4 linked regions of the Nothobranchius furzeri genome follow. The protein of the gene in region 2 purifies or fractionates together with the protein of the main gene of each other region. This does not show direct contact. Links are inferred from orthologs where the notes say so. Each region holds a gene or a part of one and is shown on either strand. Other genes may lie near its edges.

The links.
Region 1: the proteins of ago1 (region 2) and tnrc6c1 purify together in Homo sapiens (affinity purification with mass spectrometry; 5 studies listed by BioGRID and IntAct, with this or other methods). This does not show direct contact. The link is inferred for Nothobranchius furzeri from reciprocal best matches to the Homo sapiens genes AGO1 and TNRC6C.
Region 3: the proteins of ago1 (region 2) and trinucleotide repeat-containing gene 6A protein purify together in Homo sapiens (affinity purification with mass spectrometry; 10 studies listed by BioGRID and IntAct, with this or other methods). This does not show direct contact. The link is inferred for Nothobranchius furzeri from reciprocal best matches to the Homo sapiens genes AGO1 and TNRC6A.
Region 4: the proteins of ago1 (region 2) and tarbp2 purify together in Homo sapiens (co-immunoprecipitation; 4 studies listed by BioGRID and IntAct, with this or other methods). This does not show direct contact. The link is inferred for Nothobranchius furzeri from reciprocal best matches to the Homo sapiens genes AGO1 and TARBP2.

What each region holds. Positions count from the first base shown.
Region 1 is NC_091752.1:53,965,312-53,972,708, reverse strand, and holds part of tnrc6c1 (trinucleotide repeat-containing gene 6C protein), read left to right. Parts: intron 1-1,221; coding exon 1,222-1,416; intron 1,417-1,845; coding exon 1,846-2,024; intron 2,025-3,585; coding exon 3,586-3,663; intron 3,664-3,755; coding exon 3,756-3,974; intron 3,975-4,060; coding exon 4,061-4,207; intron 4,208-4,376; coding exon 4,377-4,496; intron 4,497-4,720; coding exon 4,721-4,804; intron 4,805-4,958; coding exon 4,959-5,199; intron 5,200-5,289; coding exon 5,290-5,454; intron 5,455-6,436; coding exon 6,437-6,613; intron 6,614-6,731; coding exon 6,732-6,881; intron 6,882-7,397. UniProt on the Homo sapiens protein: Plays a role in RNA-mediated gene silencing by micro-RNAs (miRNAs). Required for miRNA-dependent translational repression of complementary mRNAs by argonaute family proteins.
Region 2 is NC_091745.1:69,200,933-69,208,774, forward strand, and holds the start of ago1 (protein argonaute-1), read right to left. Parts: upstream 5,323-7,842; 5' UTR 5,193-5,322; coding exon 5,168-5,192; intron 1-5,167. Other genes in the region: dehydrodolichyl diphosphate synthase complex subunit DHDDS, read left to right, coding at 7,187-7,249.
Region 3 is NC_091752.1:63,515,393-63,523,523, forward strand, and holds the start of trinucleotide repeat-containing gene 6A protein, read left to right. Parts: upstream 1-3,384; 5' UTR 3,385-3,619; intron 3,620-7,012; 5' UTR 7,013-7,014; coding exon 7,015-7,060; intron 7,061-8,131.
Region 4 is NC_091743.1:62,018,241-62,026,347, forward strand, and holds tarbp2 (RISC-loading complex subunit tarbp2), read left to right. Parts: upstream 1-2,984; 5' UTR 2,985-3,127; coding exon 3,128-3,180; intron 3,181-3,963; coding exon 3,964-4,278; intron 4,279-4,439; coding exon 4,440-4,509; intron 4,510-4,619; coding exon 4,620-4,737; intron 4,738-4,853; coding exon 4,854-4,981; intron 4,982-5,144; coding exon 5,145-5,340; intron 5,341-5,434; coding exon 5,435-5,592; 3' UTR 5,593-5,810; downstream 5,811-8,107. Other genes in the region: tespa1 (protein ITPRID2), read right to left, coding at 6,913-7,004, 7,151-7,238. UniProt on the Homo sapiens protein: Required for formation of the RNA induced silencing complex (RISC). Component of the RISC loading complex (RLC), also known as the micro-RNA (miRNA) loading complex (miRLC), which is composed of DICER1, AGO2 and TARBP2.

The sequences.
Region 1 (7,397 bases), on a different chromosome or scaffold from region 2:
CAGCACCGTGCTTCTCATGCCAAAATAGACTTGCATGTGCCAGAGCTTAAACGGGGACCTCCTCCCTCTACCGACAGTCTGGCTCAGCCAAGCCCACTTTTCTACCTCCCTGCATGGCTGGTGCTTCACTCTCAACCTCGTCGCATTTAACCTTCAGCTCCTATAAATAAGTTTGAAATAAAAAAATCAAGCCAAGGTGAATGAATGGTATTTAAATCATACACACAATAATTAGTTATGACGCTTGGTGTGAGAACGTCTCATAAAAAGGTTAAAACTTCTGCATCAGCTGGACTGACTTAATAAAACCAATTTGCTGTCCTCACTGCTAAAGTTCCCAATCAAGCTGGATTGAAATTAGTTATTTTAGATCGTTTTGCAACATCATAAGTAATTTGCTAAATGCTTCTTTTTCTGGTTTTTGTTTAAAATTTCTGAATAATATTATTACTGCTGCTGTTAAAAATAATAGTAATGATGCAGTTTTGTCACGTAATTTAGCATTCTGCAGTAAGATCATTTTAAAATGTGAGGAGAGTTTATCAGAGCGGCTGCAACACGTGATTATTATAGAACATTACTAATCTTAACAGGATGAGCCAAAAGGCCTTTACTATAAATATTTTGACATAATTCTAAAAATCTTGAAAGCCCTTAGGTAGGGGTAGGGTGATGTATCGGTCCGCCGATATTTACCGTATTATTTATATTTTTTATATAAATTGGTATCGGCCAATATTAGTCCTAAATAAAGCCGATTTAAATTCAGGCGCATCCTCGAGCAACCCGGTTCTGTTACAGAATTCAATTCACAAAAACATCTGCACAATAAATACTTTAAATTAATTCTATTTGTCTGATTTTAACACTGAGCGGTGCAAAAAGTTAAGATTTAACGATTGGTTGAATTTAGAGTTCAAAAAACGGATCCAGCTTCAGAAACTTTGTTATTAGTGAGATTTTAGCATGAAAATAAGAAGGATATCGGCCATGAAAATCGGCAGTACATATCTGCCATCAGCTTACCGTGTCTCCTACATATCAGTATCGGCAATAGATCGGTCGACCTCTATCATTAAGTTTGCTATACCTGGTTAGAAAAACCAAATATGGGGGGAAAGAGACCATGGATACCGTTAACCTATCGTGTTTCCTAGACACTCGTCCTGATCTCGTGGGACGTTTTTGTTTTTCACACTGCTGTCCTTGCGTGCCCTCCAGGTTGGGGCGAGCTACCCAGCTCCCACACTAAATCAGAAAGCTCTTGGGGCGACCCTGCACCCTCTCCAGGCAGCATGGATAATGGCACGTCTGCCTGGGGCAAACCGAGCGGGAGCTCTGGAGGCTGGGGAGACGGCAACCCAGACAGCTACAGCAGGAGCAACCAGACAATGACCACTGCTTCCTGTAAACCCAGTAAGTAAATCCTGGGTTTGCAACGGTGTTAACATGTGAATACTGATGGCATGCTCTAGCTCCGCCGCTGAAGCAAACAGTGTTTTTCTCCTGCTGAGTCAAATCAAGGACAATGTGACAGAAAACCCCATTTTTTTAGCCATAGGTCCACACTGCCCCCTAGTGGCTGCAGCGTTTAATTTAATGTCTGTGCAGCATGTTGGTTTTACTCTGTCCTCGTTGCATATATTTGTCTCAATACTTTTATCATTATATTACATTTATTTCTTTAAAAATTACATAAAATGTTAGCCTGTAAAACACTTGTTTATTTGTTAGCTTCTGTGGAAAGCATAAATACATTCACTTAAACTGATGCTCAACTTTGATTTCTCTCTGAGGTTTTGTAAACATTTATTTTTATTTTTTATTTTTTGTTTGTTTTTTCAGCCTCCAAACCTATGCAAGATGGATGGGGAGGAGGAGGAGGAGGAGGTGGGGAAGAGCTCAGCCTGTCAGGTGGTCAGTGGGACACTGAGGAGGGAGACATGTGGAACAGCACTGCATCCCAGGAGAGCAACTCTTCCTGCAACTCCTGGGGCAACACGTCCAAAAAAGTCCAGCAGAAGGTAGAAAGCTGTTCATGTGGAATGAGGAGATGACAAATATCCTCCTTTAGTCAGTTCTGGGAAAGCTTGTAAAACCTAAACTATTGCTGCTTAGCTGCTAGTAAACTGGTAGCACGTTGAGTTGGGAATCGGCCCGTTTTTACTGCTGGGTGTTTTTTCTTGTTCTGAGGAAACTGTTGAATGTGTAAATGCAGGTAGCAATGAAATATCTGGACCTGCAGATCACATTCTCAGACTTATTTTAAATGTTGTTTCAGTCAACTTGAAACTTGCTGAACAATTTAGGGTTGGGCATCGAGCATCGATTGGAACCTGTTCCAACTGTTAGTTTTTCCCGGAATCGTTCAACGGTACTTTTTTCGATTCCTAGAATGCCGACGGAAGAGGAATCCGCAGCCGATGTCCATGAAAAATAAACGTGATTTGCAAATTGTGATCATCACCTTTCAGAGCTGATCACACCAGCTGTATGCAGCAGCGAGTGTCTCCCCCCTCCCCCCCCCTTGCAGCGACCAGATATAACGCGTCTGCCGAAATTTTACTCCGTAACATAAACTTTAACTTCTGCAGCGAAAAATGCGTAGAGGAAACGTCAACACGGTGGATTTAATAGAAGCTTTAAAGAACAAACTGGACGGTGTGAGGTGAGTTTGTCTCACTGCAGAAATAAAAACACACACGGAGCGTCAGCAGTCAGACGCAGCCGCTCACCAACACTCTGTGTGTGTGTGTGTGTGTGTGTGTGTGTGTGTGTGTGTGTGTGTGTGTGTGTGTGTGTGTGTGTGTGTGTGTGTGTGTGTGTGTGTGTGTGTGTGTGTGTGTGTGAGCGTCAGAAGGCTGAACAATAACCTGTAGAATAATTAAAGTCATCATGCTAGAGAAGCTTCTCTGTGGGTGGACCACACCAGCTTCTGCCACAATAATAATAATAATAATAATAATAATAAATAAAAAATTTTATTTCCTTTCTGAACTATTTCATTTGAGAGTCTTAATGTTTAAAATCTGTTAGATTGTTACTGACTGCAGCTACATTTAAGTTTCACTTTCTGTTCTGACTGAATGCTGCTGCAGCATGGAGGTGTAGTTGTCAGTCATCCTGGACATGATCATCCTGAGAGTTTTAGCTGAAAACAGCTGGATGTTTCTGGACATGTTGGAGACATTTAGTCTCTCATCCCAGAGGCTTCTTCCAGACTTTGGTTGTGGTCAGAAACAAACACACTGGTTGTGCTGCAAGTCTTTTTCTTTTTTCCTCCAAAACATGTTTTTGTCTAAATGAAGGTGATGTTGTTGTTCATAGAATTAAAATTCATGTTGAAGTCAAGATTATTTCATCAAGTAGGACCTGTGGTTAGCTAGCTCATGTAAAACATGTCATGTCTTCAAAGAATCAGAATCGGGAATCGATAGGAACCGGAATCGAAACGAGGAATCGGAATCGTTCAAAATGAAACGATGCCCAACCCTGCTGAACATACTCCATCCATGTTTTTACGTGATTTTGTAATTCCACTGTGAAGTGTTGCTGCGTTGCCGCGCTAACCGCCGTCTCCCTCAGGTGAAAGTCCCAGGGAAGCAGGAAGATGTCTGGATCTTGAAGCATCTCATCAAACAGCTGACAGATATGGGGTTCCCTGTGAGTGATGCTGACGATGCTTCATCCTAACGTGAAGGCGTAACGCAGAGCTCTCACCATTGAACTCTGCTTGCTGTGTTTTGTTTTTCCAGAGGGATCCAGCAGAGGAGGCTCTGAAGAGCAACAACATGAACTTGGATCAGGCCATGAGCACCCTGCTGGAGAAGAAGACGGAGCTGGACAAGCGTGGGATGGGGCTCGGCGGCCATGACTACCACAACGGGCTGATCAACAAGTCCATGAGCTGCCCTCGGCCTCCGCTTCTTTCCAAAGATCCTTCAGCAGACCCTCGTCTGCCCTTCATTGATAAGGTACCTCATTCCTCATCTTCAAAAAATGTTTGAATAATTGTGGTGGTTTGGGCTCTCCAGCTGACGCGGTCTCTTGTGTGCTGCAGATGCAGAGTGGAATGTTTGGCGGCGGTGGAGCAGCACAAGCCCGGGCCATGCAGCAGCCGCAGCCGCCTCCTCAGCCACCAGTGCCGCCTCTCAGCTCCTCTCAGCCTAGTCTACGTGCTCAAGTGCCTCAGTTTCTCTCCCCTCAGGTTCGGCCACGCTCACCTACAAACACTCACGCTTGGTTTTAACCACGGTCAGATTCGTAGTCAAGCAACTGAATTAATGCAGGAAAATGCGTTTGTTTGATTTGAAACATCTCAAGAAGAGTTTCATAAAACTAGTCAACCTTTAGATGTTGTTTTTGTCCATCCACAGGTTCAAGCACAGCTCTTACAGTTCGCAGCAAAAAACATTGGTCTGAATCCTGCACTTTTAACCTCACCAATAAACCCTCAACATATGACGCTCCTGAATCAACTCTACCAGCTGCAGCTGGTGAGTCCTTCGCCGTTTAATGAACCCATCAGTTTCTGTTCCCGTAACGTTTAGACTTCAAAATAAAACCCCACTTAGAGCGGTTTATAATTGACTCCAACTTCTTTCTTATTTGTTCAAAGACTGAACCACAGATGGTTTTCCTTTTCTTTTCTTTGTATTTTTTTTTTGGTTACTGTTGATTTTTATGGAAACAAATAAATATTTTAATGTTTAATTCACAGGCGTACCAGCGTTTACAAATTCAACAGCAGATGTTGCAGGCACAGCGCAATGTTTCTGGTCCCATTCGACAGCAAGAGCAGCAAGTACGCTTCCCTCTTCATCCTTGTTTGTTTATTTAGCTGTTCTACTTTATTCTCTCCTCTTCTAGATGGTTTACGAACTGGCTCACATTTGTAAATATTCAAGGCGTGTTGCATGTTTTGGATCCTAACTGCGGGTCCTCTGATGCGTTCTCAGGTTGCACGTACAATCAATAACATGCAGCAGCAGATCCAGCAGCACCAACGACAGCTGGCCCAGGCTCTGCTGTTGAAACAGCAGCAACAGCAGCAGCCCCCCTCCCACTCAGGCCTGCATCCTGGTGGAGCCAAATCCACCCTGGATTCATTTCCAGGTCACCCCCAGACTCCAGGCCTCCCCGACCTGCAGACCAAAGAGCCGCAGTCATCCCCCAACACCTACAGCCCCTATGCTCTCTGTGAGTGGCAGGAAGTGTTGATCTGTGACGGTGAGAGGGATCCGATTGCTGAGCATCATTTGTAACATCGGTCTTTCTCTTTCTCCTCAGCTGGACTGAATCCAAACCTGAATCCAAACTGTATCGATGTGGGAAGTCTTCCTCTGAAAGAACCCCCGCAGCCCCAGTCGCGGCTGTCTCAGTGGACACACCCGAACTCCATCGAAAGTCTGTCTGGACACGCCTCTGCTCTTGAGCCCAATCTGGGAAAGCACGGTGAGGAAAACCACAAGATCCAGCTCATCAAGCAGCCTGATGTTTCAGTAAAAGCGGTTTCATTCTGTGAGTCGTCAGTTTCCATAAAGTCCTGGAAGATCAAGAATCAACAGAAATCTTTCAAAACGTAGATCAGGAAATCATGTTTGTATCCTACAAATCATTATTAAATGTATAATTATTATAATTAAAGGAGCATTACGTACAAATTTTACAGTGAAATAATCGCAAAACAGTTTAATGTCTCAGTCAGCGACTCTTAGCCAGCTGGGGGGTTGTCAGTTTTTCTCTCTTTCAAAAACTAAAGAGGGACGCGGTTACTGTTTACAAAGCGTTTGTGAGGTTGCCATGTCTCAGGTGAGCCAACACTGCAGCGCTGGCATTTGTAATTTGACACTGGTCGGCAAAAAGCTCCAGAGATCCTAAGCCAGGTAACAGGAGTAACCGAGAAGTTATTTCTTGTACTTCTAAGAAACCACGACATCTTTTTGTTTTACGCTAATATCTGGTGATTCAGGCTAGAAGCTAACGTTGAGCTAACAATGAATTAGAAGCAAATAGTCGGCTATAAAAATATCTCAAGCAACTTTTTCGATTACCAAAAACTCTGTTACATTGAAACGTGTGTGTGAAGTGAATAATGACTCGGTTGTGGTGTTTTACTTCTTTTAATGAGTCATTCAGAGCTCAAACAGCAAGACGGCGCTGGAGAAATATTACCGTAATAATTGTAGTAAGTGCTCCCTAGCGTAAAACACCCAAAGGTACTAGCACCCAATATGGTAATGCATTTATCAACTTACTTACAACTGACTCGTCGTTGCTTGTCATCTAGAATCTTCGGTGCTGATTCGTTACTGACGTCAGCCATGATGGCTTAGGAAAATGGACTGCAGTTACCTCATTTGACCACATGATGTCATTCTCACTTCATTTTTACATGTTTCACCTTTAAGTAAAGCCATTTGTTTTGTCTGGGTAGGTGCCCCCCTGGGGCCTCCTGGGAAGCCCCCCCAGATGGACGACTCGTACCACCACTACAACCTGATGTCCAGCTCCGAGTCTCCTACAAGCCCGCTGGTCCCCCCCGAAAGCTGGGGGCAGGGCAAGAACAGCAGCGACAAGATGGCAAATGGGACCAACATCAACTGGCCACCAGGTTAGAAAACGTCTACTGTCACATCATGTTTGTGGGTACTTCAGAATGCGTACTTTTACTTTATTCCCTTCGGAGTTTGAAATCGTCGTGAGTGAAAGTAAACAAAAACTTGTTTCAGAGTTTTGTCCCGGCGTTCCCTGGAAGGGGCTACAGAACATCGACCCTGAGACTGACCCTAACGTGACCCCAGGCAGCGTCCCCAGTGGACCCACCATCAACACCAACATCCAGGATGTCAACCGCTACCTGCTGCGGGACAGGAGTGGAGGTCAGACCAACCGCCAGTGGCTGCTTGTGTTTCATACGTTTATGTTGAATAATATGTCTCTTTGAAGATCCGGCTGAAGAGTTTAAAAGATACCTGAAAAATCAATAAACTGAATTTCCTATTTTAAAAAAGTATCAGAGGTTTTAAACCTATCCGGGATCCTGCTGCTGCTTCTTTTCTTCTTTATTTTCCTGCTTTAACTGCTTCTATTTCCATTTTCACCCACTTGAACCTCAGTGATCTTATCATTTGTAGTGCCTTTTTTTTTCTTTGCTCCATTTCCTCTCTTGCTACTTTTTCCTTATTTGTGTTTGTCTGTTGGTGTCGCTGGCGTCGCCTCAGGCTCCTCCCCCACTTCATCTCAGAACGAGGCTCTGCCTCCTTCCGCTGATTGGCCGGTCAGTGCCTACACTAGCTCGTTCAGTCTCTCGTCCCCGGAGATGGACGAAGCAGGTACATGGTTTACCCACAACCCTCTCCCCTCACCCTGCAGTGACCGTGTGGTCCAGAGCTCTA
Region 2 (7,842 bases):
CCTTAACAAATGCCCGGTCAGTCGAGCGGTAAGAAAAAAGGTGGTCTTACACACCAGCAGACGGATATTTTACAAGCATTTGCTAAAGGAAAAAGATCTGTTACATATCTTAAATATTACTCGTAAAGCTTTTTGATTTTTGCACAATAAATTTTCTTAAAATGGCATTTTATACTGTTTGAAGTGTGTTTATTCTGCAGCTGCAATGTATCTGGTATGTGAGTATGTTTAGAAACAGTCGTTTTTGACATATATACAAAAGAAAGTCATATATAGCAAAGTTATACCGTTACAGCACATTTTTCAAATTATATCGCAATATAGATTTTAGGCTATATCGCCCACCCCTAGGATTGAGCGGTATGACCTAAAATTAATATCAGGATATATTGAGGATTTTACCTCGATAACGATAAGTGGACGATAACTACAGGTATGCGCAGAAGCAAAAGTTGTCCACATGATGGGGCTGTCACACGTATTATGTTGAGTCACATTTTTTCGTGACTCACGGTGGTACAGCTTCTTAAAGGGACATGAATGTTGCCAACCTAGTGAACCTACACACATCTTTTCCTTTTTTTATTATCAAATTTATTAACATGGGAAAATTTATCACGACAAGAGTAAAAAATTTCGATAACGATAAATGTTCGATTCATTGCCCAGCCCTAAAACAAAGTCATAAAATCATAATGATCTCAAAACAGAAATAGGTAAACATCAGAAAAATAATATCGTAAAATAATAACATTTCATAAACGTGAGGATAAAGGAAAGTTCTTCTAGGTACATTCGTAAAAAGTTTTTGTAGGAACTTAGCAGATAGTTCTACAAGATATTTAGACAAACTAACAGCTATGTGGATGTAGACTGGAACAAATACTACGGACCTCAAAAATCCTTTTCAGGATTTCTGGTTGTTCGTTATACGAAGTAAAGACAATGGTTGTATGTTTTGGGTTGATTTCCAACAGCAGAATAAATGACATCTCTCTCTGACAGGATTGATTGGTATCTACTTGTTTTTCCAAGCACTGAAATCAGTGATGCACTGATATAAAAATTTTAAGCCGATACCAATATCCGATATCTATATCACTGTTATGGCCGAAAACCGATATTTGCTGATACCGATATACTGATATTAATGCTTCTAAAATCAGCAGATTTTGTATAGAATGAAAATTATTAAAGCTGAATTTACATTATTAAGTACACACATTTATGCTTCTGAGATGATTACAATTACTGTCACATGACTAAACAAATTGAAAAGCCTGAGTGTCAGGCAGGGATAGGTTGGGCATCGAGCATCGATTGGAACCGGGACCAAGTTTTTCCCGGAATTGTTCAAAGTTTTTTATTTTGATTCGCGTCTGCCGAACTTTTACTCCGTAATGTAAACTTTAATTCCTGTAGAGGAAACTTGTTAAAAGACATCAACACGGTGGATTTAACAGAAGCTTTAAAGAACAAACTCTGGACAGTGTGAGGTGAGTTTGTCTCACTGCAGAAATAAAAACACACACAGAGCTTCAGCAGTCAGACGCAGCCACTCACCAACACTCGTGTGTGTGTGTGTGTGTGTGTGTGTGTGTGTGTGTGTGTGTGTGTGTGTGTGTGTGTGTGTGTGTGTGTGTGTGTGTGCGTGCGTGTGTGCGTGTGTGTGTGTCAGCAGGCTGAACAATAACCTGTAGAATAATTAAAGTCATCCTGCAAGAGCAGCTTTCTCTGTGCTGGACCACACCAGCTTCTGCCACTGGGAGCCAAAAGGGATAATAATAAATAATAATAATAATAATAATAATAATAATAATAATAATAATAATAATAATAATAAATCACACACAAAGTTGTGAACTTTTTAATTTCCTTTTTGAACCATTTCTGCTGAGAGTTTTAATGTTTAAAATCTGTTTATTTGACAGCATGTTACTGACAGCAGCTTCACTTTCTGTTCTGACTGAATGCTGCTGCAGCATGGAGGAGTAGTTCTCAGTCATCCTGGACATGATCATCCTGAGAGTTTTAGCTGAAAACAGCTGACGTTTCTGGATATGTCGGAGACATTTAGCCTCTCATCTTAGAGGCTTCTTCCAGACTGGTTGTGGTCAGAAACAAACACACTTTTTCTTTTTTTCTCCAAAACATGTTTTTTTCTAAATGAAGGTGATGTTATTGTTCATAGAAGTAAAATTCATGTTGAAGTTAAGATTATTTCATCAAGCAGGACCTGTGGTTAGCTAGCTCATGTAAAACATGTCATGTCTTGAAAGAATCTGAATCGGGAATCGACAGGAACCGGAATCGAAACGAGGAATTGGAATCAGAATCGGAATCGTTCAAAATCAAACGATACCCGACCCTTCGCAGGAGCCTTGATGATGATGATGATTCACAAGAATCAAAACAAACCCTGGAGGTACGTTGTTTGTATTATCATTAGTTGTAAACGGACGTGAGAAAACGTCAGCATCTAGCAGCAAGGTTTGGTCAGCTTCAGAGGTCCAAACATTCCTCACCATCGTCGGCAACAGCCGCCTTCAGGACACGTTTTTAAAGAAGTGTCTCAGCAGATGGTAGCCCGAAGGACTCGAATTGATGTTGGAACAGTGTTGGGTCAAGCTGAAGAAACGAAAAGCCTGATATGGTTAAAATTTTAAAGCCTGCTGTATGATGCTAACGTGGCTGTTATGAAGTAGAATCAGCAGGTGTCTATGGAGGTTTAGGCTTTCAAAAAATAAACCTGGCTTACATGTAACAGACACTGTGTGAGTGAGGTGATCTTTGACATGGACACACGGTAAAGTCCAAGAAGGTGTACACATGAACCTGCAATCCAACTGAAGAGGGAGTTTCAGTGCACACGATCATTTTAATAATAAAAATAACACTAAATGTTTGTTTGAAAGAGTGTCTGATACAAAAAATGAAAGGGGGGGGGGGGGTCCTAGACAGGGTGCTAGATGTGGATGTGAGCCTAGCTGTGACTCCTGCCTGAGAGGGGCCCACTGCCTTAACCTTGGGGTCCCCAGAGAGCAGCCCTCCTCCATCACAACAAAGACCCCAGCTGCCCCGCTCCTCCGTCTCACACACAGAAACACACGGCTGTACGACAGAGGGAGTGCCCTTGCTACGATGAACGCACTCATACACACAAACGCCAGAGCCCCCCCTCCCTCTACATTCCCAGCCTCACCATGGAGACACCACGGCAACACAGTATTGTCATGGATATAAGGGGATCTGTGCGAGTGTGTGTGAAGCGGTGTGAAGGTGCATGGCCGCTGTAGATGGGAGGAGGCAGGGTGCCACTGTGGTCATGCTGGAGAGACCTTGGCCTGTGTGGCCCCGCACTGAGCGCGATCACAAACCAGAAGGAAGAGCCACTTAAGAGAGTCCTAAACTGGTAAAGTTTTGTTTCAAACAGTTGGTGATGTAATCTCACACCACTCAACTCAACATCTGTTAAACCTCCAGGAAGAGTAACGGTCAGAAACCTAATAAAAAAAGATGCTCTGCTGCGTGTTTTAGTCTGTATGTAGAATCACACATCTGATAAAGTCCATAAACACAGATACAAGACATGTGGCGACTGTACACTAGAGGATGCATGAGTGCGAACACGCCAGTGTGTTGTGATTGTTGCACACTCGCGCACAAAGACGCACGCTTCTCCCTCGTGCCAGTGAAGGCAGATGGTGAGAAGTGGAGCCAGCGCTCTCACATATCCCAACACAATGGAGTTCTCTCCCAGGCGGTAAGAATTAAAACTGGAGCATCACAACTTGAAATCTCTCACTACTACATGTCTTTAAACCCAATTCCAAGAAAAACTGCTTAAAAACGGGTTTAGATTGAGTTTAGTTTCATTTGTTTTCAGACAGCTGGTAAAGATTTCCACTTAAATATTTTATTTTCAGTTTATTCTACAATCTAAAACATACAGATGTTTCTTAATCTGACCTCATAATGGAATGAGGTGAAAGTAAAGGGTGGTTTGTCCAACTTAAGGTGTTTTAAAGTGCAAAAATAAATAATTGGATAAATATTGGTCGTTGGGGTACTGGAAAAACAATTCGCTTGTTTTATAAAGTAAACTAATAAGAAAAACTAATGGTCCACCACTTCTTTGACCAGATTATTTGCGTCTTGGCAGTTGACCCTGAAGCAAACATGTTGGATCGATTTTTAAAAACGCATTGAATAGTAGCACTTTAAACACAAAAGCAGTTTAAAACGAGGGGGCCCCCATGGGCCCTTCCCCCTTCCCAAAGAAAATCCCCTGAAAATAGACCCATCACCTAACTTTAATGTTCAATATCAAGTCTATCATTAAGGTGATCATAAATCTGCTTTGAGGTTATGAACAGACAGTTAAATTAAGCAATTAGTTTATTTTATAAAGAAAGTGCTCAGATCACACTTTACATAGATTAGGATTAAGACTGTTTATATTTACCCCTAAAAGGTGAACTTCAGACCTGACACACACACACGCGCACACACACAGTTTTGAACTGATTTGCTCGATTCCACGACTCTTATGTCAATAAGAAAAATCTAAATATAGATCTTTAGCTGCCATCAAATGCATCCATGCAGGATAAAAAACAAAACTTAAAGTGGGAGGCTTCTGCTCCTTTTCGTCTAAAACTCAAATCTAACCCAGATATAACACTTTATTGACCTTGGATGTGCAATTTTACACGATCAGCCTGGGGCTGTCTTTAATGCTGCATGTGACGTGTTGATGTTACAAGCTGGTCCTACTGGCTGAGGATCCAGCAGTGAGAGGGAGGCTGTGTGGGGCATGCGGGGAGCAGCCAGCTGCTGCTGCGGCTTGAAGGCGGGCTTCACCTCGTCCCTCCTCACAGAGATTCCCACGACCTCACTGCCCCCGCACATGGCCGAGGATATTGTCAGCACCCTAATAAGCCTCGTCTGTGGTTATGAACCAGGAAAATAATTGTTTTATATAAACTGTTAGGCATGTAGATAGCTAGAGCCCCTTTTCATCGAACGGTGCAACGGAAGAGGCTGACTACAAGGCTTCCTCCACTTCCCCCTGACGCTCCGATTTTCCGACTGAAATGTGAAGCTGCAATCGGGTGTTTGCAGTGATCACTTGAAATTACTATAAAAAATAAATAAATACACCTACCAGCGCCAGACGGTCCCGGCTCCATCCCATTCACTTAGCCGCGCTGTACAAGCTAGCTACTCCGGGGTGCTGTGGCCAAACCGCCGGCCCCTTCAGGCTGGAGGCGTCTCAGACTTCCAGCCCCCTCCTCTCGGCCTGTAGTCTTCACCCTCCTCGGTGTACCCCCGCCCCCTGCCCCTTACCAGATCCCCCCCAGACCCGGAGAGGACTTGAGGCTAACGGCTGATTTGCCCGTTGACCCCGGAGCTGCTAACGGTGGAGCTGGAGGGAGATAGCGTCTTAATTCCAGCCGCTTTTCTCCAACCGCGCAGCGTGGCTTCCTCCGTGATTTGGCCGATTGTCCGCGGTGCTGTGATTTGTCGTCCGTGTGATGCTCCTGCCCACGGTTCAAGCAGGATTCTCCAGCGGAACAAAAAAGGCCAGCCCCTCACCCCCCAAAAATCTAAAACTTCTTCACCGCCATTTAAAAAAGTGCAAACGAACTGTTGATGAAGTTACTGTCACACCCTAGCGGCGGAGAGCGGAACTACACTGCAGCTATTCGAAAAAGTAAAAGGCTCAAAGTTTAGTGGAAACGTGAACTAATTTAGTTTGTTGGTGTAATGCTGGCATTATCTTAACAGCACCATTTATTTAAAAAATCATAATAAATAAATACTAAAAGTAGTCTAATATATACTAAATATTTGTACTGTTTGCTTTTTTAGAGAAAAATAAAACAAAAACAATACTTCAAGGAACTACATTTCAAAAACATTTTTAAAAAATCAAGGTGCAAAAGTTATGTAACAAGCTTGTATATTTTGATTAAACTTCAGTACGGTCCCTTTATACATACCTGATACATGATCATGTCTGGGAATATTCCTAAAAAGGCAACAGATTGTGTGAAGTATTTCTTTCCAGATCTGGACTTTGCTGGAACTTTGACTCTGAGTCTGAGATGCAACCTGGCAGCAATGGATGATATCCTAGAGGCCACAGGTGTCTAGGCCAGGTGTGCATGGGGGTCAGTTAACAGGAAAAAGTGCAAATGTTTACCACGTTGCACGGCATGACAGGAATTGTCATGCACCATGAAGAGCATAAACCCCACTGACTGCACCAGTGTAGAATCTGGCAATGGGTCCCAGCAAAATGAATGAGCAGCAAGAATGCTACATTAGCAGGACAGTATTTAATTGACTGCTAATCTAACTGACCTAAGATTATACATAGAGTAAAGAAAGTAGTATAGGGAATAATTTCTGATCTACATTAATTCTTACCTAAAACTACTCCTACAGATTAGAATGATTGTAAAACTAAAACTACTAAACTAGCAAGGCTGCATTCATTTTTGAAAAAGTTCAGGACACCAGTGGTGCCAATGCAAATTTTAGCCAATTCTGGTGACCTTTAATAAATGCAAATGAAGCTCTACTGTGCCTGTAAGTGAAAACAGGACATTTTGGAGGGTCTATGACTCTCAAACTATCATTCAGTCCATTTCTGATTTAGTTTAAGACCCAACGTTATACTTGTTATGCTTCTTATCTTCATTCTTTGATTTTATCTTGTACAAATTCCGCGTCCATCCCCATGTTTTATAAATCTAATAACGGCTGACAGGAAGTCGTCATCGTGCGCATGCGTTGTTTCGCTCCAGTCAGGAAGTGGTCGTCATCGAAAGAGCTGTGAGTTGGAAGGTGTAAAGAAATGTGAGGAAAATCGTCGTAGCCGTGGCAGAACGACTCGTTCTTCGTGGGTTTGAATGAAAGACGCAGTTTTCCACCGACGGTGAGTGTTTTCTAGATAAATATAGTACAGACTTGTGCTGGTTTTCAGCCTCACAGCAGGTCAGTTGGAGCCAGTTCTCTGGTTGAAATCAATCACTGGCTGCACGATGAAATTTAATACAGCACACGATATGGAAATAATCGGCAATAACCAGTTCTGCAGCTCAAGGTGAATCATATACGGTTCACTTCTTAAAACTGTGTTTAATTTACAGGATTTCAGAGCGTTTGAAACCGGAAAATGTCGTGGATAAAAGAAGGTGAATTAAATCTGATTGAAAGGATTTCTGCCAACATCCTAAAGGTAAGAATAAGCTTCTGTTCATTTTAAAACGACTCTTATTGTGTGTCTGTTGTTAGCATTTCAATCAGCTTCAAACTCTACTCATCACCACCCTGTTCTGCGGGTATTACTGTGTATAATCCTCAGAAGGAGCACCGAGATCCGGAAAGTACTTGTAAGGTAGTATTTTATTATGTGTGGGAAAATAAATCAGGAGTAACAAAAACGAGTTGTAATAACTTCTCGTTTGGCATAATGGATCTTACTGGCATTGTTGGGGTACGTTTTAAGCGTATTAATTAAAATTGAAGATTTTCTTTATAGTTTATTATTCTCTGAAGTATTACTGCTGTGCAGTTGACTTAAATCCTAAAGCATGTGACCTCTTAAACCATTCTTGGCATGAAATCAATGTAGAGTGGGAACATGATGTGGCTTTGCACAAATAATGATGCCTTTCTATTGATCTGGAGAAAACTGATAAGATAATGTTATAATTTTATAAAATAACACCTAGTTTTAGCCTTTTTAAACATAACACTCCTCTCTGAAGCATTCATTTGCATATCTTATTATAGTTATACATGCATATTATTGGCTTGGCTGTTGCACAC
Region 3 (8,131 bases), on a different chromosome or scaffold from region 2:
TGTTTCTTTTGAAAGGCATAATGGGCCAAATGAGGCTGGTCCATGATGGGAGATCATTAGGATGTCCTCATCTACCTTTTTAGCTGTAACTTTATCTCTAACAGTGTTGTGTCACATCATACCATACGCCGTCAACAGCTTTTTTATGAATAAGAAGTGTTATTGCTGCAATATATAAATCATCAAATACAAAAATTGTTGGAACTAAATCGCTTTTTCAAATGTAGACCTAAGATTTGATGTGGTAGAAGTCCATCACAACAGGTACTTGACACGTCTCACCTTTATGTTAATGTTGTTTTATTAGACGCACTCCACTTTGAACTGCACCAATCCAGCAACTGCTGCATTGTAATAACTAGTATTAAAGGTGAACACACCAATATTTGCACAAGAATAATTTTTGTTTTAAACTCTCAGTGACACACTTTGCAGGGGGGATTTGGCATTTATTTTTTCTTGGCGTCTGGAAAAACATCTCCTTCTGCCCCCCTTTGAATTTCTGCCCCCTTTATTTTGGTCCAAGATCATTACTGGGCTGGCCCTACCCTGCTTAGTAGACTTAATGAAGTATTTTTAAGCCAGTATAAAAACAACTGAAACACAAATTTACATATTTGGCATTACTGACCAATATCTTTGGTTTAATTTATTTAAGAAAATCAAGATGAACATTATAAAGTAAAATTTTCTAGTGCAGAGAGGAGACAACCCATAGAAGCACTGATTTGATCTCATTTCAGAGAAAAATAGAACAGGTCCGATACACCTAATAAATAAAATTACTAACAAACTCAGGAATCTTTCTTTGCTTCATTGTTCTGGTGCTGAAAACATCACTAATGCAGATCAAAGGAGATACACCAGGGTGTCCGCGGGGTTTTAAAAAGTATTAAAAAGTGATAAATAAAAATAGTCAAATTTAAGGCCATTAAAAGTGTTAAATTTGGTCTCAGAGGTATTATTTTTTCCAAGTTAGGTATTATTTTTTTCAGACTATCAGGTGTCGTATTCTGAACATCGACATAGAAATATATTCCGAATGAAATGTTTTGAACGATTATAAAAATAAAACAAGCCGATTATTTGCTCCTCCCACTTGAGCTGCCCTGAGTTACAAATGAAGCGCTCCGTTGCCAACTTAGCGACTTTGATGCTATTTCCAACAGCTTTTCAGACCCCCTTCTTGACTTTTTAAATCTTAAAAGTACCTGGCGAACACCTCAGAAACATCTCTGGTAACCCTTAGCTACTTTCTGGATAACTATCGTCGACATTTCCTGCTGCAGGTTAGCTAAACACTCCGCCTGCGCTCCGGACCGTTCTTCAGGACATTAGGAAAGGGAATGATGTAATGATGTGTCGGTCGCTAAAGAAACAGCTCAGAGCCGGCTCCCTGTTGGAGTAACCAGAGTGAGTGACACACACCGTACCTGCGGACTCCTGAGCCACTAAAAACGGCTAAGTGTGCGTGTGCGGCGCGCTAAACACACGTGCAGCTTGCCCCTGATTGCTGTGAGACCGGGTTGGGGGGTGGGGGGTGCAGCTGTGGTTGGGACAATTATTACATTAACTGATGGACTTGTTAATAAATAGTTTATAAATAAGGTAGAAATAAGTTCCTCACGCTAATAAATAATAACTAATCTCTCTGAGGACACGGTGCTAGTGCACTCTCCTACAGCTCCTTGACACAACTCAATAAATGTTATGCAATATTTTGTGAACATCAATTTATTTGCATGTATTTGTTATAAATGCCACTGTATAATTCTTGCTGTCAGTATTTGCAAGATATTGGTATTTGGGTCTGCACTGGTTAGACTTAAATGAGTTAAACCAAGGTCTATTGCCCTTGGGTCATAAACTATGAGCTATAAGTATATTGGTCTTTTTATACTGGGAATCAGGAGTTCTTTTAGTGATCATCTTGTTTCTTGTTTATTTTTGCCCTGATTGTGCCCTGAGCAGTTTTATGACTGAATAAAAATAAATTAAAAAAATCTACATAAATTGAAAAATCGTCTTAAATAATCGAGATCTCAATTTCAGTCACAATAATCGTGATTATTGTTTTTGCCATAATTGAGCAACCCTACTTTAGCATATCCGGTCACATTATGATGACGTCATATTCAGTGGTCGTTCTGCATCATTTCAGGCCCCGTGGTCAACTGTCTGAACCGCTGAAAAGAAGTGCCTGGCATATTTTCTAAGTAAAATAAATATGCGCAATACGTTGTCAACATCAGTGAGTCTCTAAGTCTATGCTTTTTGTATGTTATATATGTTAAAATATGTGTAAATAGGTCGCTGATTAACACTTGCAATTTAGTGTTGTGATGGTTTTAAAAAAATTCTGAAGGTAGTAAAAAAAAGTATTAAAAAGTAGTAAATTTTACTTAAGGATTGCTGTATATACCCTGTACACAGATGAATGCACCTCTTATTTATTATTTGGAAATTAGTGGGTGTGGTTTACATCAATACATTATTTTAAATCTGAAGCTGATAAAGATTGATCAGAAGTTGCTATGTGTGTTGTTTATTAGAAAAATATTTACAGAGCAGCCTCAGAATTGAGATGAAATGTTTTTGATCACAATAGCAAAGGAACTATTACAGAACAAGTTTTTCACTAAAATCAGAACATTAATGTTTAAGTGCATGAATTAATGCATCTGAACTCATGCATTAGGAACTAGGAAATATGAAATACTAGAACCATTTTATTTTAATTTGATTAAACTGATTTTTTTTCCTAATGTTGTTGGCATTTTCCCCACACACAATTGAACAAACCAATGTTGATTACCAAGCTGCTACATCCTTCTCATTCTTGTCAGGTTTCTAGTCTGGGTTGTTGCAGAAATCGAAAGCAAGTTAGAGATCCATTTACCCTCGGTTGTTTTGCCGAGTTGCCATCTAACCTTTTGCTTTAACCAGTGAGTAGTCAACATGTTGAATAATAATTTATTAGCATTCATTGACTCTGGTAGGAATTGTTTTATTATGCTGAAAAAGGTCAGAAAACTAAATGTTTTGTTTTGAGAAACCACGTAGTGTTTTATGAACATTTAGCTCCTTTTTATCCATCACGTCTTTCTGTGAGCATGTGGATTGTTTCTAAAGCACAAGATTGTGACAGCTGTTTGAAATACTTCAGGATTGCTTCGGAAGCTGATGAATGTGATGGCTAACGTTGTGAACAATTATTTTACAGATGTTTTGAATCTAAAATTACAAAGAAAGAGTATTAAAATAAACTAATAATGGCTTCTTTCCTTTCCTTTATTTTTTTATTTTTTTGTGCAGCAGTGCCGAAGCATACTACATCAAGACGGTCCTTAATCATAACCACGCCTCCATCCTTCCCCGTCCCTATTTACAAACAATCACAAACACCAGTCTTCAGCGATGCCAAGGGAGGCTAATCAGCCTGTCTCCTGCTCTGACAAGCCCCGCCTCCTCACCTCACACCCTTGAAGCTGTGCTCACTAAGTGTTGACCTTTGACCTCCCCTGTGCCGAGCTGGGAACCAAAGGCCACCTGTTCTCTTCTGAAACCGGGGACACCCTCCTGTCCAGCCAGGAGCTGCAGCCACCAGTGGCACTCAGAGGTAAGCAGTGGGGGTGGGGGGGTGGGGGGGGGGCAGGCATTTGCATTCCCAACTGACTCCTCCTTTATGAAGGACTGAAGGCAGCTGTGCATTTAAACGGCTACAGATGTGAGCGGGTGTTTAACCCTCAGGTCTGAGGGACCTACTACATAGTTTTTATGAAATCAGATGAAGCAATAAAGTTACTTGCACAGACCCTCCACTGCTTCATAGTCAGAAAACCAAACTATTGCCTTAAAGGGACGTAGTTTTTTTTTATGCATGTAAACGCATTAGTCTGGCTAAAGCACCCACATAATGCGGTAGAAACTCAACTTCATCTGCATGTAAATGACTCAGTCGAGCTGATGCCACGAGACCGTGGAAGTAGTCTTCTGATAATTCCATTGTTACAAAGTAACATGCGTTACACCATCAAACAGTACAGTATCAGCTGTGCTGCCGCGCCGTTGTCCATTGCTTCACAGCCATCGTTCATATCCTGTTTTAACTCTGTCTGGCTCACTCCCGCCAGCATTGGTTTACTATTTGGGCAGCAGTCGCTCAGGAGGTAGACCGGTAATCAGAAGGTTGCAGGTTAGATCCCGGCTCCCATCAGACAATGCTGCTGTTGTGTCCTTGGGCAAGACGCTTAAGCCTCAGGCTTCACTTTATTTTACTATACACTTGAGTCTTTAGAGGACAAAACGTCCGCTGGTAAAAATGGCTATAAAAATGTATACAATAATATTTTTCTTCTGCTTTTTTTTCATCCTTCTGTTAAACTACTTCAGCCCTCCATCATTTTTAACACTTCAAATGCCAGTTTGATTACTCAGTCATTTCTGGAATTTATGGAGGAAAAAACACAAAAATGACTTATTTTCCCCCAAAAACAACTGTTTCTTCCTGGGGCATTTATTATAAATCAGGCTTAGTCATGTTATGAAATAACTGAAAAATAAAAAAATTTGCATCCGTAGTTTTTGTGTAGCAACAGATTGATCTTGGCGGACAAAAATGTCCCATTGACTTCCATTCAAACCACAGTTTTTCATCCTGTAACATCTGGAAAAAGTAATCATGCTTTCTGTGATATTAGTGTTTCATTTTTCACTAGTGAAATTTGTGATTTTTACTGTTCTTCACCAAATTCAGTTATTTCTCCATACGTGGCCCAGGTGAGAAAGTCTACACATTTCTTTAGATCTTCTGTTGTTTGTATTGAAGTCAAAAGGTCAACCTGACCTCTGATAAGTAGATAAAACACAGTTTGACTCTCTTACTGAACTTCAAAGTGTAGAAAGCAAAAACAATTGGTATGTTTATGCACGTGTCTGGAGCTCCAGCCAGGTGCATAAACATACTAAACTGTGGTTTGAATGGAAGTCAATGGGACGTTTTTGTCCGCTAGACTCAAGTGTATGGTGTTTTTTGTTTTTTTCTTCATAGTGTTCACTTGGTTTATTTTCAAAATTCCAAATTGAATTTCGAAATTTGTCCAGGGAGGTGTTTTGCAACAAAGATTTGTACCGTATGGTACGGCTGAACGATCTATCGTTTTTGGACCGAAATTCCGATTTCAAACAGCACGCTCATGTGACCGTCAACGCTATGGTTTTGGAGGTTTTGACTGATCCCGGATCAGTTTTGTAACTTTTTATTTTTTATTTTTTACATCCGGGGTTGTCGCCCTGTGTTATGTCGGCGGCAAAATCCAGCGCGGGGGAGGGGAGTGGGGTGTGCCATCCAGAGCAGAGCCCAACTCCAAAGCTGCCAGAGCTGCATGTTCAGGTTATTGTTCCTGTTTTACGTTCCCACACACAGCGCTGCTAGAGCCTATAATAATGGGACCGAAGGTGAGCCTGGGACAGAGAGAGAGAGAGAGAGGACGTAGGGGGTAAGGGAGAGAGACTCCTCCCACATCGGAGCAGGTTCAGGCTTATTTCTAAAGCTTGGTTTATGCTTCATCAGCGCGAGTGCGGAGCCGCGCACTTTAGTTGACTTGAAAGCTCAACTTATCTTTTAAAAATGGTTTGAATGTTTCTGATGGCACACGTTAGCTCAAACAAGCTAAGGTGTCAGAATGCTTGTGTCTCTCACGGAGTTGACATTTTAGTGAGGAAAATCAGACGACTTTGAAAAACGTGCAGCCAGCCTGCCGCGGTAATGCAGGGAAAACTGTGTGCATTTTTTTATTTAATACATTTAAAATCTATGTTTACTTACAGATTTCCTCCATGCATTTTTGGATAGAACATGTTTTGTAAAGCTCCTCTCTAGATATAAACTACAAGCACAAGTTGCTTCACAAACACATAAAAAAATGTAAAAAAAAAAAAAGATAATGGGAGAATATAATGGCTAACTGTTTTTATTGTATGATTAAATAAATAGTAAATATTAATGTGAATGATTTGTTGTACTAGATTAGAATCTAGACCATCTTTTCACCTAATCTACAGGGTGGCTTGGCAGGCTAATGCTGGATCTTTGTTTGCAGAAAATCGTGAATTGAACCGAAATCGCAATTTCTGCTAGAAAAATTGCAATTCAGTCTTTTCCTAAAATCGTTCAGGCCTACCATATGCACAAACAATGGTGAAATGGCATCCAAAAGAAAAGCAAAAAACTGCCCAAATGGACAAAAATGTCCCTAATGAAGCCTGAGGGTTAAACCCACCTTTTCTGCTGGTGGTGGTCGGAGACTGGTGGCGCCAGTGTTTGGCAGTCTTGTGTCTATTATTGAACCTCAGGGCAGCTGTGGCTACATTGTAGCTCATCACCACCAGCGTGTGAATGGGTAGATGACTGATTGTGTTGTGAAGCGCCTGGGGGGTAGAAAGAACCCTAAGAAGGTGCTTTACAAATGCAGGCCATTTACCGTTTTGGTGTTGCTAACCGGAAGAATACCGACACAAAAGGGCGCATGTTGCCTCGGAGTGGAGCGAACTTCATTTGAGAGTTCGGTTTTCTAATGTACAAATAAACTAGGATAATGGCTCCCGGTTAGTTGACTTTGATAGACCTAGCTTGAGTTAGTAGTGCATCTCTCTGTGATGGCTGCTATTGTGTTTATACTCGTAACCAGAAGTCTAAAATAAATGTTTGTGTCGTAAAATATTTTTATTGGGGTGTCAGTCATTTATTACAAACTATGGTATGGTACATAATTCTCAGAAATTATCAATCAATGAAGTCTTTAAATTCTTATATTATCTAAGAAATAACTAGAGATTTAGTAACAGAAAATACTAGTCCTGCTTTCCTTTAAAGCTGTTTTTCTAAACTCTTCTGACTTTAAACCTTTTTTATTACTGTATATTTATTCCAGCTGTTTCTAACATCTTCTCACATTGTTTTCCATCTCTGCTTCCCTTCGAACCTTGACAGTCTCCCGCTTTCTTTTTCCAGGCATGGCTCCCATTCGGGATTCCGTCAGCCACTCTCCTAACCAAACAGGTGACAACATATTGTCTTCTTTTAAAAAATACTCCTCCTTTGCATTTACTGCTCTGTCAAAGTGCTTTACTTTTGCTTTCTGCATAGAAAAGATCCAACCTGGACTTGACCTTGTCCAGTGGTGTGTTGTACTCCCCTCTCGTCAGTGAGACTGAAATGAATTCATGAAAAAGTGTGTGTTGAAGGGTGCATAAGAAGACCTGGTGCAGGCATGAAGTAGTGGATAGTGACTGAAAAATAACAAAGGCAAAGCTAAAAACACCATTATTATGGGCCTGTGTCCTTTTAGTTCTGTGGCTCATAAATAAATAAGTTATTAATACACTCAAACACCTGAGTGTGATTTATACTTCTGCGTCGATCCTGAGACATTCAACGCCATTATACGTTGGCGCAAGGGCTCTCCAACGGGCTTACAGATTGAGACATGCCCAAAATATTAAACATCTGTTAGAAGTGAGAGACCGCAAGCTTGTGATTGGTCAATTCAATTCAATTGTATTTATATAGCGCCAAATCCCGACAAGAGTCATCTCAAGACACTTCACATAATAAACATTCCAATTCAGGTCAGTTCATTAAGCCAGTCAGGAAAAATGTTTCCTATATAAGGAACCCAGCAAGTTGCATCAAGTCACTGACTAGTGTCAGTGACTATACAGCAATCCTCATACTAAGCAAGCATGCAGCGACAGTGGAGAGGAAAACTCCCTTTTAACAGGAAGAAACCTCCAGAGGATCCTGGCTCAGTATAAGCAGCCATCCTCCACGACTCACTGGGGATCGAGAAGACGGAACACACACACAGACACACACACACACACACACACACACACACACACACCAAGCAATGTGTCCATGGTTACACCGTGATTGCTTAGTAAATATTCTATTTGGCGAGAGATAAACTTTCTTGTATTTATCCTAGTGAATCTATTGTTAAACGGGTAAACTAGTAGTAGCACACCAACGTCAAGGAAAGCAAAAAGTTATTATCAGGAGAGGGAGAATGTTTAAGTGTTTAGCAGCAGTGTGCTAGACGATGGTCCCCTCCATGAGGCCACCACAGCT
Region 4 (8,107 bases), on a different chromosome or scaffold from region 2:
TGCCAGCCGTCGTCTAATTGCAATCGTCGGTGTTGCTGTATTAGCTCACAGGAGACATGGCAACCCCTGTTGGTAAACAGCATATGTCCGTCCTTCCTTTGTTTTGAAAGGAGAAAAAGTGACAATCCCTGCAGCCAGCTGGATATGAAATATGTTTCAGTAGAACCTCGCTTCCAAATTGACTGAAGCATTAGACTCTTTTGGGATTTTCTCACTGTAAAATTTTCACTATTTTCTTACATACTGCACCTTTAAACAAGATAAATGCACAAATACAAGTGTGCCACAGAAAAAGAAAATGATAACACTTGTCAAACTCACTAATTTTCATAGCTGCAAATGTGTCTGCCCTCTTGTGGACCGATGGGAGACAGCTCAAAAAGGACTGCAGTTTAGATTTTTAGTCCTTACTCAACATTTAAAATTGCAATTTTAGATCAAATTTAACAAATGAAGATCAAAAAGAAAATTTGCTTTGTGTAATATATGGCAGACAAGTCTGGCAGCCTCAGCCATCATTCATTCACAGGTCCGAGTGTACTAGTACACGGGCTGAAAATGGAGACATGGTGTTGATGAATGTGGGGGAGCTGAGAGCACCTCTGTGTCTGCTGTGTCCTCCTACTCAGTGAGCAACATGGAGGCAGAGCGTTTATTCTATTCTGGTCCCTGAAAAGGGATTTTTTTCAATAGCTCCTAGGTAAATTAGTCAAAATAACCAAAATCATTTCTCAATTGTGTTACTAAGCCACACCAATGAGACACAGCAGTTTATGACACCTTTCATTTAATTTGATTTTTTATTAGGATTTTTATCCAAAATTAAGGGATTTTTTTTCAATAGATCCTAGCTAAATAATCAACACACCCAAACCCATTTCCTAATTGTGTTACTAAGCCACACCAATGAGACACAGCCGTTTATAAACACTTTCATACAATCTCATCTTTTTTATTAGGATTTTTATCCATAATTAAGGGATTTTTTCAATAGCTCCTAGGTAAATGAGTCAAAATAACCAAAATCATTTCTCAATTGTGTTACTAAGCCACACCAATGAGACACGGCAATTTTTAACAACTTTCATACAATTTGATTTTTTTATTAGGATTTTTATCCAAAATTAAGGGATTTCTTTTTTCAATAGATCCTAGCTAAATAGTCAACACACCCAAACCCATTTCGTAATTGTGTTACTAAGCCACACCAATGAGACACAGCCATTTATAAACACTTTCATACAATCTCATCTTTTTTATTAGGATTTTTATCCATAATTAAGGGATTTTTCCAGTAGCTAGGTAAATTTGTCAAAATACCCAAAACAATTTCTCAGTGTTGTTACTAAGCTAGATCAATGAGACACAGCAGTTGTTAACACCTTTCATGCGATCTGATCATTTTATTAGGATTTTTATAAAAAAAATTAAGGTTTTTTTCAATAGCTCCTAGGTAAATTAGTCAAAATAACCTAAATCATTTCCCAATTGTGTTACTAAACCACACCAATGAGACACAGCAGTTTATTTATTGTAGAATACATTTAGACCACATACATTACTATAATGTATTATAGCAATTAGGGATGAGCATTTTTGACGAATACGAGCATGAAACGAGTAAAACACGTAAATATCCGTAATCGTGCTGAAGGAAAATCCTCATTGGGTAACTGACTGTCTTCACGCTCTGTGATTGGCCAGTCACATAGAGCGCCCGCCCCTCCCTACACAGAAAACTGCAGCCGGCCGGGAGCGCAGTCCGTCCGGCTCATCCGCGCACACACACAGACAGTAACGGATCTCGCTGTGATTGCTTCAATGTTGCTCACGTTTCTTCAGTAATCCCTAGGTTTTCTTCAGCTCGCCTCTTTTTCGGTTGAATATTTAAAGTTACTTTTTTCGTAACTTACTTGGTGCATTTGATAAGACAGAGCTGACGTGCTGTGTTAGTCACTACCTCCGCTCCCAGGGTCAGATTAACACTTAGTTGTACCCTGGGCAACAATATTAAAGGTCCCCATCATCACGACCCAAGGATCACCATAATATGGTCACATACAGAATATTTTACTGTAATATGCAGTAAATATACTCAATACTTGAATGCCTGACATCATGTAACCCGCTCAGGGTAACCTTTGACCCACCTCGTGTGGAATGACCAATGAGGAGAGGGTCTAAACTTGAGGCCCTCTCTTCATTGGTCAGTCTGAATGAGACTGACTCTCAACTGGCGTTCAAAGTCATAGGCAGCGAAGCATCTCTGTGCAGCGCAAAAGCCCGGGTGGACAGTTTGTTTAATGTAGGGTGATCATATTTCCATTTCCAAACAAGAGGACAGGGGATCTGTGCCTATGACGTCACACTATGGCAACGCCACACAAACCACGTTGGGACCCATTTTTTTGTAAGAACTAAATTAATATCAGATTCTGCCAATAAAACGGCTCTAAAACAATTCATATGTAAATATTTAGCATATTTCTTGCAAAATCTCATTTTTCTGCTTTAGTGCTGCAACAAGGTTTTATTAATAAGAAATCATTATACCTTTTGTATAACCTAACCTAAACATGCACTCAAATATTTCATACAAAATATCTGACCTCTTATCAGCTGACATTTCTTTAATTGATAACAATGCTGACATGGAGTCTGAGCAAATAATACTTTTCCTAACACCATTTTGTTCTATCCACTGTAAACTAAATGAAATGGCTAACATTTCCACTGTATAAACTGACAGATTATTAGATGTTCGACTTTTATAATATATACTTAATGTCGGAATCCAGAAAGAAAATCCCGTTATATTTCCTGACACTTTCGACCCATCAGTATATTTAGGGATGAATGCTTGATGAGTGTCATTCCCACCTTCTGAGGCACAGAAGGCATTTGGGCCAATCGGGGCTTACGCTGCCCAGGACGCAATCTACGTCATAATCGTGTGACCGAGGTTGTCGCTGTAGAGGTGGTTTCGTCTTCTGGTATCCATCATGTTGCAGCTTTAGCTCATCGTTTTGGGACAACAATAAATACCGTCTAATGAGAGTACGTGTCTGTTGTGGCGGGGGGGATTTTACATCCGAAACCGAGCGGTTCTGTCTGCGCGAAACGGGGAATGAACGACGAGACAGCTTCGGATAGCTGGAAGAGAAACTCCGGGGACTCCAGGTGGGATTGTCTTCTTGATAAAAGCCATTTGTATGTAAACAATATAAAATGTCAGAGTCAAAGGCCTCAGAAACTAACGCGTGCATGTTGTTTTAAGTGTTTAATCTTCTGTTATTCTTTTAATCTCTACAGCTTAACTGTTTGACTCATCGTTAATACTCTTTATCTGGTGGCTTTTTACTGCTAGGTTGATTTTTGAGGGATTATTGTAATCTGGAAGGCAACAGGTGGTCAAAAACACTAATATAATGTTTTCCTAAATGTAAAGATCGGCATAAATTACACAAATCTCTTTATTCCATTTGTAATATATGTAATAAAATAAGCTGATTGCAAACATTTCTGGTTCAAATCTTCATTCCAGATGGCTGTAGCTGCCGCCTCACAAATAAATCATTGAATAAAAGTGCCTTCTTTTACTCTGATAATGTAAATAATAGAGTTTTATTGGTTTGTGCCCATTTCCTTTGTACACTGTGAAGAATCTCACCTCAAAACACCACACTTATTATTTGGGTCAGTATTCATTTGGCAAATAATAGTATTTTTTTTCTTGGAAACATATTTCACAGATTGAGCCTTAAAGATGGCACACTTTTCCTATTTCTTGTTGCATTTCGTGAAACTAAAATATAGACAAGTGTAGTTTTTCCACTGAACATTGTAGCGTATGCCCTTTAGATTTTAGCAGCAATAAACTAGCCACATTGTTGTGTTTTGATCTCAGTAAAGATGATAACAAAATAAGTGAACAGCTGCTTATGCTTTCTATCTTTTAAATAGTATTGAGCAAATGCTGGCTGTGAATCCTGGAAAGACGCCCATCAGTCTGCTGCAGGAGTATGGAACGCGGATAGGCAAAACCCCAGTGTACGACCTGCTGAAGGCGGAGGGACAGGCCCACCAGCCCAACTTCACATTCCGCGTCTCCGTCGGAGAGATCAGCTGCACCGGCCAAGGGCCCAGCAAGAAGGCAGCTAAGCACAAAGCAGCTGAGGCTGCTCTGAAGATGCTCAAAGGAAGCCTCGGAGATCCAGCTGGAGTCGCTGTCGGAGAAGACGTGTTTATCGAGGTTGATGTGTCTATTGACGGAGACTGGTCAGGACCCTACTTCATTTTAAAATGTAGAAAAGAACCTAGCGATGCTTAAGTGATGCTTAATGGCTTGTCTTGATTGGATCCAGACGATGTTTCAACATTGAGTTGATGGAAGAGAGAGATTTGTGTGGATTTAGTCTGTCCTCTCATGTTTTATGCAGCTCTCAGTCAGAGATGAAGACTTCCAGCAGTTCTCAACAGTCGGAATGTAACCCCGTTGGGGCGCTGCAGGTAACTACGCCATAGAGACTTTATTTTATCCTGGTAATCCACAACACTGGTTTCTGTTAGAATATTTCTATAGTTTCCTTCCTTTTTTTTTCTGTTTTGATTTACTTCAGGAGTTGGTGGTGCAGAAAGGATGGCGTTTGCCAGAGTACACGGTCACTCAGGAGTCGGGTCCAGCACATCGAAAAGAGTTTACCATGACCTGCAGAGTGGAGAGATTTGTAGAAATTGGTAAATCTTCTCTCATTCTTGTTTGATATCTGCATGTTGTGCTTTCACGCTCAATTGGATTTGTCAAAATCTGCTTTTATGCCAAGTGAAGGAGTGATTTCCTTTTTCCTGTCCAGGAAGTGGCACATCTAAGAAGTTAGCCAAGAGGAATGCAGCCGCTAAGATGCTCTCACGGATCCACGACGTTCCAGTGGACCTGAGGAGCAGCAACGAGGCAGATGCAGAAGAAGATACCTTCAATTTGGTGAGAGCTAAACACCACAGCAGTGATTTATATGCTTGCGCTTAAATTTCTTGTGCAATTCTCAAAATATCACAAACTGTGCCCATGTTATGGTGATGAAGCTTCTCTGCTTGGCTCTACTGTGTCTGTGTAAAACGTGTATAAAATCATCCCATTTACGCAGCACATGGGCAGCAGAGCGGAGTCGGGTAAAAGCAAAAGTTTCAGCTGCACCTGGGATTCTCTGCGTAACTCTGCTGGAGAGAAGATCCTGCAGCTCCGCAGCCACCCTCTGGGAATGCCAGCTGGCTCCAACTTCTGCTCGTTGCTGAGCGACCTGTCCGTGGAGCAGCGCTTTGATGTCAGTTACCTCGACCTCGGTGAGCTCACGCTCAACAGCACAACAGGAGCACCGTAAAGCGGTTAGAAACTCCTCGTTTTTTTTCTTCACATCCATGCTTGTTTGTTTTTCAGAGGAGCGCAGCCTCAGCGGCCGCTGTCAGTGTCTGGTGGAGCTGTCCACACAACCCATCACTGTGTGTCATGGCTTTGCTCCGAACGTAGAAGCTGCTCGAGCCCACGCGGCTCACAATGCACTGCAGTACCTTAAAATCATGGCAGGAGGAAAATGAGACACCTGGGCGCGTTTTTTGTCCGCAGACCCGAACTCGCCACCACGCGATGCCAATGTACACCTCCTTGTTGTACAGTAGAGGCTTTTTGACCTCAGATTGGTTAAGAGACATTTTTATCCTGCCTTGAAGCTAAACACAAGTTTATCTCTAGTTCATTTGTTGTCCAGCTGGTGAAAATCTCACAGCCTAAAACTCAAACCCACTCCCTTGATATTTTGTGTACTTGTGACAGATTGTTTTAGGAAAAAAAATTGTTTTTAGCCCATTTATCCTTCATATAATTAGCTGTTTTCTTACATATGAAGTTTAAAATATATACATGACGTCATAAATGATGCACTTTTGAGTCATATGTCACAAATGATGTTAGTTGAAATTAATAATTTTAAGTATGTTTTAAAATAATCAGCTTGTCTGATTTGAGTTCAAATTAATGGAGAAATTTGACTTTGTCGTTTTTTTCCTCAAATCTTTGTGTTTTATTTTACAACAAAATCAACGTCGGAGCGAATATCCATGAATGAACCATCTTTGACAAATTCTAGTAACTTTTTTTGAGTTTTGTAAAGGTCTTTTCTGTTTTGAAGTACTTGTCATGAAATAAAATATGATCCTTTTTTTAAAATACATTTAGAATACCAAACCCTGATAAGCTTTGTGATCTCAGACCAGGTGAATAAAGCTGTTAGACTCGTGCTGAGTATAATTACCTCAAGACGTTTGTGTTTGTGACGCCTAGAATTTAACCCAGTGTTTGACTTTTATTTTGATAGTTTAAATTTTAGTTTCAGTGTGATGATGTCACCAAATCTACACGTTTAGCCCCAAATTAATAAGAAAATGTCTTGTTATTTGGATCAATTAGTTATTTTAGACTGTGCAGTGATGTTTTCACCCTGTAAATGACAGAGTGAACACTTTTCAGTAAGGAACCAAAAATATTCTTAAAGTACAACCACCTCTGATTATTGTAAAGGAGGAAGTTAAACAATGTTTTTTAACTTTGGGTGCTACATTTTTTGTGCTGCAGTTTTAAATCCTGTAACAAAAATGTAAATGAAATATGAACTCCTAACTTGCCATTTTTAACAAAATATTGTAATTTTACTGTTGTTTTCACCTGATTAAAGAACCATTCCACTCAAGTACTCCATCCACTTCCTGTTGTGTTGAACTCTTTATGATTTACAACATTTTACATGTATGCAGATTATTTTTCCCCACTAGTTTGAAACTAAGTTTTCTAAACCATCAAATCTTCAGGGCAGGAATAAGTTGACAGAAACTTCTGCAATTCTTTGTCTTTTTGCTTTTCCATCATCTGTTGTGTCTTTCTGTTAAAGAGCAGACTTCTTCATCCGCGTAGCCACTGCTGTCAGACTGCACGCTGTCACCCCGGACCACCTCACCTACACAAACATACATGCAGATGGTTTAACTTCACGTGTTACAAACAAAAACTGGCTTTGCAGCTGCAGTTTGACCTGAATTAGCACAGAAAGGCACCATTTCCCCTCTGAAGAGCAATCCTGCTCAGTGAATCTCTCTCTCTCACCTTTGTGTGAATCTTTTTTGAATGACGGTGAGCTGGCTGTGCTTATAGCTTCTAATTGTCCAACATCATCTTCTCCTGCACTGTGAACCTTAAGAAACAGAATAAAGTTAAGTTTACAAACTGTTATAAAAGGTAATATAGTACATGATATGTACTAAACTTATTTACTGCTTATTAACTGATAAAAGAGCTTTATTTGTTGATTTTCTATTTAGTTGTCATGGTTTTATTTGTTTAATTTTTGTGTTTCATTCAAAGCTGTGACTGCATGGTAGCACGGTTGCCTCATATCAAGAAGGCTGCAGTTTTGAATCCTACTTGTATGGAGTTAAATGTTAAATGTCTGTATTTCTATAGCGCCATCTAGGTTTCTACAACCCCAATGGCACTTCACAACACAGTCAGTCATTCACATACACAATCACACCCTGCTGATGATGAGCCACAGCTGCCCTGTCAGAGGAGAGGCTGCTGAACACCACAAGCAGGCAACATGGGTCAAGGAGCCCAAGGACAACAACTGCAGCAGAGTGAGCGGGACGCGATCCCACAACCCTCTGGTTGTGCGAGTGTTGGGAAAATGCTACCGTATTGTAAAACGTACTGAAATATATCAAAAGGCCAAACATGCAGAAATCTTTCCGTTTTTTACTCCACAAATAACACATGCCTGGAGGAGTTCTGTTATGTGGTTGAGTTGCTAATGCTAACAGTTAGCTTCTGCTAGCCGAGGAGTTCTCGGCTGTTTCCTAGACGCTAAGCTAACAACAGCCTTCCCCGTCACGAGTCAAGATGGGTGAGTCTATGAATGTTAAGTGACAGTTACGTAGATCTGTCAGGTTTTTCTAATCCTAGAGTTCCATCGTCTATTTCATGCAGGAGATAGGTGTAGGAGACTATTTTCATGTTTAGCCTGCATGAAAAACTCAAATTGACAGATTATAATCAGAAATAATC